Drosophila melanogaster: one gene and its partners. The protein of the gene in region 3 interacts with the protein of the main gene of each other region in a pairwise test. Each region holds a gene or a part of one and is shown on either strand. Other genes may lie near its edges. The genes, in order: CG12849, Gsc and Spt7.

Region 1 (3,342 bases), on a different chromosome or scaffold from region 3:
TCTCCTGCCAGTGCCTCGTCGTCCTTTCCATGGCATGACTGAAGGCGAGCTGGTAGCGCAGCTGCTCCGTGGTCACTATGTCCGCCGGCATCTTGTCAGGGGTGTGGGGTTGTGTTTACTTTACTTCGTGTCCTTCTGGTTGTGGAGTGGATTGATATATGTGTCCGAAATGTGTGAAGTTTGTGGCTGGCCCACCTGATTGGCAGCTGAGTTGCCAGTCCCGAGTGCCAATCCCGTTTTCTGTGTGCTCCCTAATCGCATTAGCAGCCACTTGACAGACGACAGGTGCAGTGCATCCAGGTCACTGCCAGCCACCTGTGCAGAAACTCTGCACATAATTGTTAACGCTTACGAACTGGCCTAGTCTGAAACCTATGTACATGTTTAAGTTAACTTTCGTCACTACACTATATTTATTTTCGTAAATCTCAGTAATGTGACAAATACATCACATACAGACCCACTTAGACTTACTATATTTACTATATTGGTCCTGCTGACCCCCATCCAATACTAAAACGGCATAACACCTTACCAATATTTCTGCTTACGGGTTGAAGAGCCTGGATATTACTGGATTTGACTGTTTAGCTCTTGGTAAAGTATAGGATGACATCGGTGCGCGGAATGCCCGCGACCATCCATGTGCTGTTCATCATGTATCTGCCATCGGGGATGATCGACTGGACCAGCTTGTTCAGATGCTGCACGGGAAGCTTGTCGAGCACGATGTCGTGCTGTGGGTGGGTGGGTGAGAAAGGCGAAGGTTATGCGGCATGAACATGGCAACGCTCACTCACGTCGTAGGGGCAGGTGTGGTTCAGGTTCGAGTAGGGGCCGAAGGTCTGGTAGACCCAGTTGGCGATCACGTGCTTGCGGTCGCGCATGAACTTGCAGGAGTCCACCTTGAAATCAAAGTTGTACAGGACTCGCCTGTTCTCGCGCATCCTCAGCTGGAATCTGGTCTGGAAGATGGTCGGGTGGTGTGAGACCGACACAGTTCTATACTCTTACCTCGCAGTTGTCGACGGGCAGGCGGAACATCTTTGTTTTTAGCGAAAGGTACTTGTAGGTGCGGTTCACGGACTTCAAGTAACAGTACTCAAAGTCCATAAACATCCTGTCGCGCACGAGGCAGACTACATTATTGAATTCGAAGTGTCCTCGGATCTTTGGATATCAATTATTCTATAGTGCCATCTATTAGCCATACGCATTCGATTCTTACTGCCATCGGAGACATAAAAATCAGCAGAAAAGTCCACAATCCGCTCATTCCTAAAGAGGTCTGGATCACAATAACCACAATACCGAGTGCCAAAAGCTGAAGCATTCCAAAAGTTATTAATTGTGATTACTCGATCCATTGCTGTTATGAAATTGCCAGCCGATATTAAATAATCTCTGAGAATCCATTGAGTGTTTAATAACTTATTTTAATGGACATTTAAAATACACAGCATTCCAAATAAACCTATTCCAGCAAATTGACCCTCAAAATGCCAACGACTATGCGATTAATAAAGAAATTTGTTCATATTTTTAAAGATGTTTATATGTATAATTGATTGTTATTTATAGAGTTACTATTGTACATATTCCTCAATCGTAGGTCCATTTTGTATGAACTAAAATGTTGATATTTCAAAATGTGCTAAAGCCGCAGAAATTAGATCGTATTGGTTTGTGGCACGAATATATTTTTCAGGCGGCTTAAGGCAACACTGAGTAGTATCAGAGTTCCAAACCACCGTACATTAAATGAACCAATATCGGTTTTGTTCCATCCCCAATGCATTGTTGACGTTTTTTGGCGCGACTTAATTACTGGCAGAAATCCAAACTATCTGTGCGTCCATTTAACTAATAAATAAGGAGGAATAAAGGAGTTCCGATCCGAGAGCGAAAATGCCGGAGGCGGATAGGGAGCTGGTCAGCATCAGGCGCTTCCTGAAGGAGCGCCTCCAGCGAGACTACACCACCTTGAGGGGCTACGCAAAGGAGCGGTCCAATGTGCGCCTATTGCTGCAACGCACAGCTGAAATGGGGGAATCCAACTCCTTGCTGCTCCTTGGGCCGCGGGGATCCGGAAAGACAACGGTATGAGTGCAGGCCTTACCGGGAAACCAATCCAGTAATCTATGCTTTCAAATTCTTTAGCTCATCAACTCCGTGCTGGCCGATTTGCTGCCCAATAAATCGTTCGGGGAAAACACTCTCATCGTCCACCTGGACGGTAATCTGCACACGGACGACCGAGTGGCCCTGAAGTCCATCACTGTGCAGATGCAGCTGGAGAACGCTGCGGATGGGAAAGTGTTCGGATCGTTCGCCGAGAACCTCGCCTTCCTGCTGCAATGCCTCAAGGCGGGTGGCAAGCATTCCAAGAGCGTGATCTTTATTCTCGAGGAGTTCGACCTCTTCTGTGCTCACCACAACCAGACCCTGCTCTACAACCTCTTCGACGTCTCCCAGTCAGCCCAGGCGCCCATCTGTGTACTTGGCGTTACCTGTCGCCTCGACGTGATCGAGCTGCTGGAGAAGCGGGTCAAGTCGCGTTTCTCGCACCGGCAGGTCTTTCTCTTTCCCAGCTTGCGGCGCTTTGAGGATTACGTTGACCTGTGCAGGGATCTACTGTCCCTCCCGACCGGCAATTCACTGTTGCTGGCGGCGGAGAAAATCTATAACCTACAAAACATCCAGTCGGGGGCACTTTACTTCTCCCGCAACCATTTTGACCCCGGGGAGTACGGCTTTTCGCCCAGACTACGCGATGCCTGGAACAAGCAAATATGCAAAGTCCTGGCCACTCAGCAGGCAAGAAGCACCCTCCAAGCGCTCCATGACTTCGACATTAGCGAGGCCTATCTCAAGAACTTCCTATTCCGCCTGGTGGCACATCTCCGACCGCAATCTCCCCACATCACAGCCGAAAAAATGGCTGCAGTGGGATCACAGTTTGAGGGCGACGACAAGATAGAGCTGCTTTGCGGGCTCTCAGTCCTAGAGCTGTGCCTGATCATCGCCATCAAGCACCATTCGCAGATTTACGATCGCGATTCCTTCAACTTCGAGATCATTTACGCGCGCTTTTCCAAGTTTGCCAAAGTGTCCACCACAATGCAGGCCGTGGAGCGGTCCATTGTCCTGAAGGCCTTCGAGCATTTACGCATCGCAGAGCTGATCATGCCGCTCACCGGTGGAGCTGGAGGGGGCGTAGGTAAGGTGCAGAAAGAGTTTGAGATGCATAAGCTGGCGCTGACATACAGCCAGATTCACCACTGTATGCAGCGATACCAGGCCCTTCCCACAGAGGTTGCTCAGTGGGCGCAAAGCTCTCTG
Region 2 (3,753 bases), on a different chromosome or scaffold from region 3:
TGCAGCAAGCTGGGGAAAAAAGTTGCGACCAGGTTTTTAATATTCATGTCCTGCGGGGGAGCCTTTGAATGAATTTAAGCGGTATTCTGCATAAATCTGCGCCTGAGATCCACGCTCGAATCAACACAAGGCCTGAGCCCATCTTAAAGCCACCCCAGCATCCCGGATTTCCCTGGTTTTTCCGGCCCAAGCTAAGACTTAGAGCCCAATGCAAATCCTCTCACCGCAAAATCGAAGGAAAATGGAGAGGAAATGCGGAATCATCTTTCACGGATCATTGCCTAATTATGAATAATGCCATTCAGGACTCGCTTCGGAATGGGTGTGGTTCGGTTGAGTGGGAGAGGATGAGGATGTCAGGATAAAAGTGGGTGAGTGGCTGAATGGGTGATTCCTGACTGCATGAGTGAGCTGCCTTAAGGTGATTTCAGAGTTTAGATGCATGAAATAAGGTATTTCAAAATGTTAAAATTTCTTTATCTAAAGAACCATCCTTTGAACTGGTTTCGTCTTAAGTTGTCTTCATAATGAAATTCAGCTGAGGGGGCTTGTGCGTTCAGTATAGGGGGATTGATAGACTTACCCAAAAAATCCGAGGGAGAGGCGGCAAAACCGCTCGCCGCTGCAGCCGCCAAGTGACCCAGATGCAGGCCAGGATGCTGCAGCATGGCAGGAACCCTCTGCGGTCGGATGGGACTGGCGGCTGCGCTAGAACTGGAGTTTGAATTTGGCGAGGCTGGGGACTCGGCGCCACTTCTTTTCAGACCCAAACTGATGCCATTCGAGGTGAGTCCATTTTGGTTGCCATTGCTGCTGATGTGGCTGCCTTGGCTTGGAGCGGTGCCTCCACCCTGTTGGCGAGAGCCCAAAATGCTGTCGATAGTGAAGAGAGACGCGGCGGCGGCTCCTCCTCTTCTCTCCTCTTCCAGAATGGTGACACCTGACTGGCTGCCATCATCGGAGGACGGAGTTTGACTTTGGGACTGCTGGTGTTGGGCGTGCTGCTGCTGGAGGACCGACTGCAATCGCTGGCCCAAGTAGCCGCATTGCTGCGAGTTCAGGAGCATGGCGGTGGTCAGGTGATAGGCGGCCGTGTTGCCAGGAGATCGCGAGATCTGCCTTGGAGGCTGCTGCTGCTCGCCGAGATCGCTGGGCGACCTTTTGAGGGTGTAACCCGCCGGCGGGGAATTTGTCTCTACCATTTGTGCCAGCATAGATCCAGCCGGAGGGGGCGTAGGCGGCGGGGAGGGGCTGGGCGTGCTCACGACGGTGATCTTGAACTTGGCCTTCGAGGGCGGAATGTCGGGCGTGGTGCTGGGAGTGGTGGTGGTGGTGCCTCCACCGCCTCCTCCAGGGGTCCACAGTGAGGAGAGAATCTTGAAGAAGTCTATGAAGCTTTCGAGTAGGAAAAAGTCTCTTCCCCACTGATTTTTTTTTAATGAAGCGGCACTTTTGAAGCACTAAGCGCTTTACAATTTTTTTTAATTCAGTAATGGTGGCAATGTTGCGAATATTAAGTCTAGGTTTTTTTCACTGGATTAGTGTGTTTTGATCGATGCCAAGTTCACTAAACCGCACTAGAAACACGCACTGCAATCGCGTCGTGATTTTATATTTTATTATTTCCACAGGTTTTCTGCCACCGGGAACCCTTCTTGTCCGCTCGAGCTGCGAAAGTGTTGTGAGAGCGTTCCGCCCGACAAGTTGTCGATTGAGTAGTCGTTAGGCCAGTTCCTCGACAGATATAGATACAGACTCTCAGATGCCAGATACAAACTCACATCTGCTCTCTCGTTTAGCGGACATTTTTCGACGTTGGCCAATGAAATCGGGGTGAAGCCACGCCCTCAACGCTACCATATTGCTTGGCAATACTCTCTGGCTTTGGACGCCTCTCCCTCTCTCTGTATCCTCCCTCCCTTTTTTGCTTTCCCTCTGTATCTCTTTCTCTCGCTCTAGCTGGTGGTGGTTGATGGTGTCGGGCCCCCATCTTGCAGTGTTCCAGGTTAAAGGCTGGCAGGAGGTCCAGGATAAAGATGGCGCTACAGAGATAATGCCCCATTCACCAGACCCCTCCTTTTCCACCCAATTCACACCAATGCTTCCATGTATTTTTTTGTATTTTTGCGCTCTCTACTTACTTTCTTTGGCCACTGACAGTTATTTATACAGATAAAGTCATCACTGACAGACCCCGCGGCCCCCACAGAAAGAGATAGCTGTCGAGGGAGCGATAGAGAAGGGAAGCGGGTGCGCAGGATATGGCAACAGAAGCTCTCTCGCTTTCACTCAGAGTGAGTAGCAGGGGTAGCATAAAAATGCTGATGGAAATTATGGGTGGCAAAAAGCCTGACGCTCTCTTCTCGCGTTCAGGGGATTCTGATACTCCACTGCCTCTGCTGGCGCCGTATCTTAAGAAGATAATGACTAAATTAATGCTTTTATGTTTCTGGCAACACATAAACATCATTATGCGCTCAATCCGCCCACGGAGAAGCGCTGCTCTTGCTCTTTCTCCCTTTCTGAGCTTTATCTTTATCATCATTCTTGCAGACGTTGGGAGCTTGAAAAGGGTTAAGGGGTGAACGTTTTATGTAGAAAGAAGCACGCTACTACTCGTACATAAAGATGAAGCTTACACTGGAGGGAGACTGGGAGCGCTCATTCAATAATCTACGGCACTTTGGTGACCCTCGTCGCTATTGTTTCACCTCGTGTGTGTGCATAGGAAAATATTTTAATCTAAAGTTTCCACATCAAACATGCCCAAGTGCAAAATCCCCAATGGCCGCCAGGGTTCGTTCCCTAGATATGCCCCCCCTCCTCGTCCACTCGAATGCAGGAAAACAAAAGCTAAGCTACGACTAATGATAAATGCAACTCTGCAAACCACACCCACAATCACAAATGGAAATCCAGCCAGGAAAAGCAAATGAACCGAAAAGTCCTTACAATGTCACCTATGTGGGGGTGAAAAATGGGGATCACTTGGAGAAATAATTCCCAAGTAAGGTCCATCTTTACATACTAACTAAACTTAATTCTGCTAGGAGAATCATGGAAGACGAGGCGTTCCTGATAAATTATCAATCAACACTGACTACTAAATTGGGTGGTTTCGAAATATCTTTAAATAATAAGAAAGTATTTAAAGGGCACCCAAATCGCTCTGTGTACTAAGATGGACAAAGAGGAGGGGTCCAGGGAGGGAGGCTTACATAAATGCAGATGTTTTAGTGTGTGTTGGGGGTATATGTGTTCAACTGATTACGGGGGCGCACGGAAGAAGAGGGGCGGTCCTGTCACATGCCGTAAAAGGATGAAAGGATGACGGCTGATGACGTCGCATGTGGCCAAATGCTTTTAGAAATTATTGAATAATTAAGCAGGCCAAGGACCGCAGGACCAGGATATTTCTGGTCCTCTTTCCCCTCCGATTCTTAGTGGATCCTGCCGCCCAGTTTTCTCTGGGCTTCGCTATTTGCCTTTACACTGAACTTCTTACATGGCCAACAACTCCCGACGGGAAAACCGATGATGACGATGTTGTAAATGTAAAGGAAATATTGAGTTGAGAATGGAAAAAGAGGAGGAAGCTCTGGGAGTGCGCTTCTCGCTAAGCTCAAAAGATGTGACGCACTTTTTTCTATTATTTTCCTCACAGAATTTGTTCAACTTGTTTTTTCACATGAAACTTTTTGTTGCCTTTTCTACCTACTCTGACCTCTGACCTGAATTCTTTCCCCACTTGCT
Region 3 (3,753 bases):
AAACAGATTGGATGGCAATGGCATTCGTCTACAGATCTTTCATCCGTCATCGTCATCATGGTTCAGGTTCATGTAATGGAGTCGTGGAGGGGAGCGGGGGAATGAACGGCGACGGTACTAGTGGTGCGGGTGTTTCGCAGCCCCTCCAGGTTGGTCTGTCGTTGTTTCTCCATCGTCGTGTTTTCCGTGTGGTTTCATGTGCAGGACTTAATCCGAAGTGTGTGTGCTTGACTAGACGCCGAGGAAAGCTAGTGCCGGTATCAGGATCTACTCCAGTCCCAGCATCCAGTTGATGCCTTGTACTATGAAAAAGATGAGCGGCTGCCAGGCCACCAGCCAACGAATCCAATCCAGCAGGCGACCGTACAAAACGTGCGGCTTCTCCCAGCTAGAGGAGAAACAATATTAAGTAGGCCAGTCAAACGGATGGCTCTGAATGGCTTACGGATTGCGGAACATCTTCTGGAGATCGACCTTTTCCTTGCAGTAGGGACACGTCTGCTTCTTGCCCACAATGCACCAACCACGTATACAGAACTCGTGGAATACGTGGTTACAAGACAACTTGTAGGTGTTCTCAATGACGCCCTCTTCCTTCTCCGAGACCAGCAACTGATTGCCACACACTGCGCAGACATTCTGATCAAGATGTCGTGTTGGAATACCCTGAGGTGTGTAGTACTGTGGGACAAACGGGAGGGTTAGAAGATTCCAACTGGGTATCTGGCCAATGGTCAACTCACGCCAATAGCTGCCGCCATCTTATCCGAACATATCTCGGATATATCACGCCCCAGGACGCCGATGTACAGGCCGTAGAAGCAGAACATCAGGCCCACATCCATCCATGTGTTTGGTGGCTGTGAGAACATGTAATTCATGCCCAGAAAGGCGGCTATGATCACCAGATAGCCCACCAGGCCAAGGCCATAGCTGAGCTTGTAGATGAAGTAGAACCACTTGTAGACCAGCCTGAAATTGGATTTTATGGGTTATTATCTGGCCTTCGTCGGTCGCCGTTCTTATCTACGTTGACTCACCTAGGCGTTGTGCCCTGGATGGGCTTGCTGATGGCCCGTCGCATAACCAGTGCCGTGATGCAGGTGAACACCAGCCAGATGATTATGAAGCGCAGCCAGCCGAAGCTGCAGGAGATGATCAGCGGAATGAGCCACATGGCCAGCAGGGTGACGAAAGCGTAGGATCTGTAGTGCCGCTTCTTCCACTCGACCAGGATGATCTGGGCAATAACCAGGGTGACGAACAGAATGATCACCATCTCGGAGTGCATGGCATCGTGGCCGCGATGTTTCTCCACCATCAGTTGATGCTGCGCTCTGTTCGATTGGATAGCCGAAAATTTGTTATGATTTAAAGGATTTTCTAAGGCCACTTCACTTACCGCATTCGCTCCTCCGGCGTCATTTCGTCCAGGGACTGATGGACATCCGCATTAGCAGGGAATTGCAGGGAAGAGGGAAAATTTGGCAGTAGAGTGGGGCTTCCTATTCGATTCCCATTAGAAAAGACTCACCTTGTTCAAGTCCACGGGCTCATGCAGGTCCATGTGCTCCTGGTGCATCTTATTGCCGTTGTATCCGCCGTATCCCGCTGCCGCCAATCCGCCGGACAGTCCCACTCGTCGTCTGCGTCGCTGCGTTATCTTGCCCACCACGTATTGCGATCGGTTTTTACCTTTGAAATTCGTGAAACGAAAACAAATAATTACATTTTATGCCTGTGTGCTTGTCCAGCTGCAGTGGCGTTGCCATTTGTCACAGCGGCCGAAAAAACGAATACATGTATGTGTGACGTGAGCCACAAAAATACAAGCGCGACCTGATTGTTAGAACCAGCTGTCCTGAGTATGGGGTTTTTCCCAAATTGTTGCTATTTTATCATAACCTTTATTTACTTTAGCTACGACAGCGCTTTCTGATTATCGAAAACGAAACGTTCGAGGCCAACGTTGCCAGATGCCGCTGCAGGCCGTGCCGATGTTTACCGACAATCAGCTGTTTGGTTCAATGAGTTGAGTATTTCGTTCCCAGCGCAAGCAAACTTATCGATAGTCCCGATAACCAACCATGTTATTTTAGGGCCCGATAAGTAAACAACAATATATTGTTAAGTAAATGTTGTACGTAGGTTTTTAAGCGAAATAAACATGCAAACAGAGCACTGGGGCTCGCTGCCCGCAGAGGATGACGGCGGTCAACTGACGCCGGACAAATACGTGCCCACGGCGGCCAAGAAACTTAAGCTGGACGAGATTCGCCAGCGCGGAGATCCGCAACCGCAAGAAAAGCAGTAAATAAATCTAAAGAAAAGCTTTAACGCAGCCGGTAAACTAACCATATATTCCATGTAGCCACAAGTTGGAGCTGAGGAGTGCGCTGGTCACCCAGACCATCGAGGTGATGAAGCAAACCGAGGTGCTGCAGTCCCTCATTGAAACGTACTCCAACAAAAATGCAAGTTCTTGGTTCTTGTTTAACCGTAGTATTTACCTAATTTACCCAATGAATTCATAGGGAAGTTCCAATTACCTCTTGAATCCGTGCCTAATGATACCGGAAGTGGACTTTCCGCCGGAGAACGCAGCCGAACTGGTGGGCAGCCAAAAGTTTCAGAAGCCCATTTGGTTCACACCAACCGTGGACACAGCCTACTCTCGCGGGGATCCGGAGGCATATCCGGAGATCCCCAGCTCTGCTTGCCGCCAGGCGATGCGCAAGGTGATGTGCGGCATGCTGCGCCTGGCCGGCTTCACCGACTGTTCCGAGTCGGCGGTGCAACTGCTGACGGACGCCACCGAGGAGTTCCTGCGCAGCTTTATCGGCGAGTATCGCGGCTACTATGACAGTCAGCCGCGGCTGCAGAATTCCACGGTGCTGCAGCTGGTCCCACTGGAGCGCGCCCATTTCGCCCAAACGGGCACCTCGCTCACCCAGGTGCACAACTACTACAAGCACAAGGTGCTGGCCAGGAATCGCGCGGAGATCGCTGAGTTCAACAGCGTACTGCAGGAGTACGACAAACTGATGAAGGAGAGCCAGAGCAGCATGCAGAAGCAGCACAACGAGTTCAACGGCCACGACTTTCTCAACATCCTGGACAACAGCGCCACAGGCAGCAGCCAGAGCATAGGCGGCATGGCCATGGGCGATATGCTGCAGGATCTGGGCGGTAGCACGGGCTCCAGTGGCACAGTCAGCTCCCAGCAGATGCTGTACGGCCTGCTCGATGGCCAGATATCGTCCAATACCTCCAACATGACGGGGACGAGCGGCAATGGCAGCACGGGCGGCAATGGAAATGGCAATGGGGCCACGATTAGCAACTTTCACGCCACTTTTGAAACGTAATTGTTAAAATTGCGGGGATAACTTCATTATCTCACACTGAGATATCTCTAGCAATCAAATGTTTCACACTTTTTATAGAACGACTAAGATCTCTAGGCTCAAGTTAAGTTAAGCTCTAAGGAAACGTACTAATTAAATAGTTTTTATTACGTGTTTTGTTTATTGCTCATCTTTTTGCTAATCCTCGACTCGTTCCAGTTGTTTTGTCGCCTCCGCTTGGTGAACTCGTTGGTGGGTTCAATGGCCACAAGTTTGGTTGCATTCGGATCGCTGGCTCTGTACTGGAACACTTTGTCGTGGCGCGTCTTTTTCTGGGCCCACGCCAGCAGGTCCCTGCCTTCCAGTATGGAGTTGCCAGTGACCACCACAGAGTCCAGAGCTTCGG

Evidence for each region.
Region 1: the proteins of Spt7 (region 3) and CG12849 interact in a two-hybrid assay, tested with the Drosophila melanogaster proteins (one large-scale study listed by BioGRID).
Region 2: the proteins of Spt7 (region 3) and Gsc interact in a two-hybrid assay, tested with the Drosophila melanogaster proteins (one large-scale study listed by BioGRID).

Annotation. Positions count from the first base shown.
Region 1 is NT_033778.4:24,795,859-24,799,200, reverse strand, and holds CG12849 (uncharacterized protein), read right to left. Parts: upstream 1,277-3,342; coding exon 1,229-1,276; intron 1,171-1,228; coding exon 1,015-1,170; intron 966-1,014; coding exon 801-965; intron 738-800; coding exon 588-737; downstream 1-587. Other genes in the region: CG3611 (uncharacterized protein), read right to left, coding at 1-91; Orc4 (origin recognition complex subunit 4), read left to right, coding at 1,909-2,100, 2,161-3,342.
Region 2 is NT_033779.5:593,005-596,757, forward strand, and holds the start of Gsc (goosecoid), read right to left. Parts: upstream 1,682-3,753; 5' UTR 1,377-1,681; coding exon of another isoform or gene 1,203-1,376; coding exon 584-1,202; intron 1-583.
Region 3 is NC_004354.4:17,848,374-17,852,126, forward strand, and holds Spt7 (Spt7), read left to right. Parts: upstream 1-2,086; 5' UTR 2,087-2,167; coding exon 2,168-2,310; intron 2,311-2,371; coding exon 2,372-2,474; intron 2,475-2,534; coding exon 2,535-3,368; 3' UTR 3,369-3,514; downstream 3,515-3,753. Other genes in the region: CG15814 (uncharacterized protein), read right to left, coding at 268-388, 446-681, 744-972, 1,041-1,337, 1,403-1,437, 1,535-1,582; CG32554 (uncharacterized protein), read right to left, coding at 3,515-3,753. UniProt on the Drosophila melanogaster protein: Component of the transcription regulatory complex SAGA, a multiprotein complex that activates transcription by remodeling chromatin and mediating histone acetylation and deubiquitination. The SAGA complex predominantly acetylates histone H3.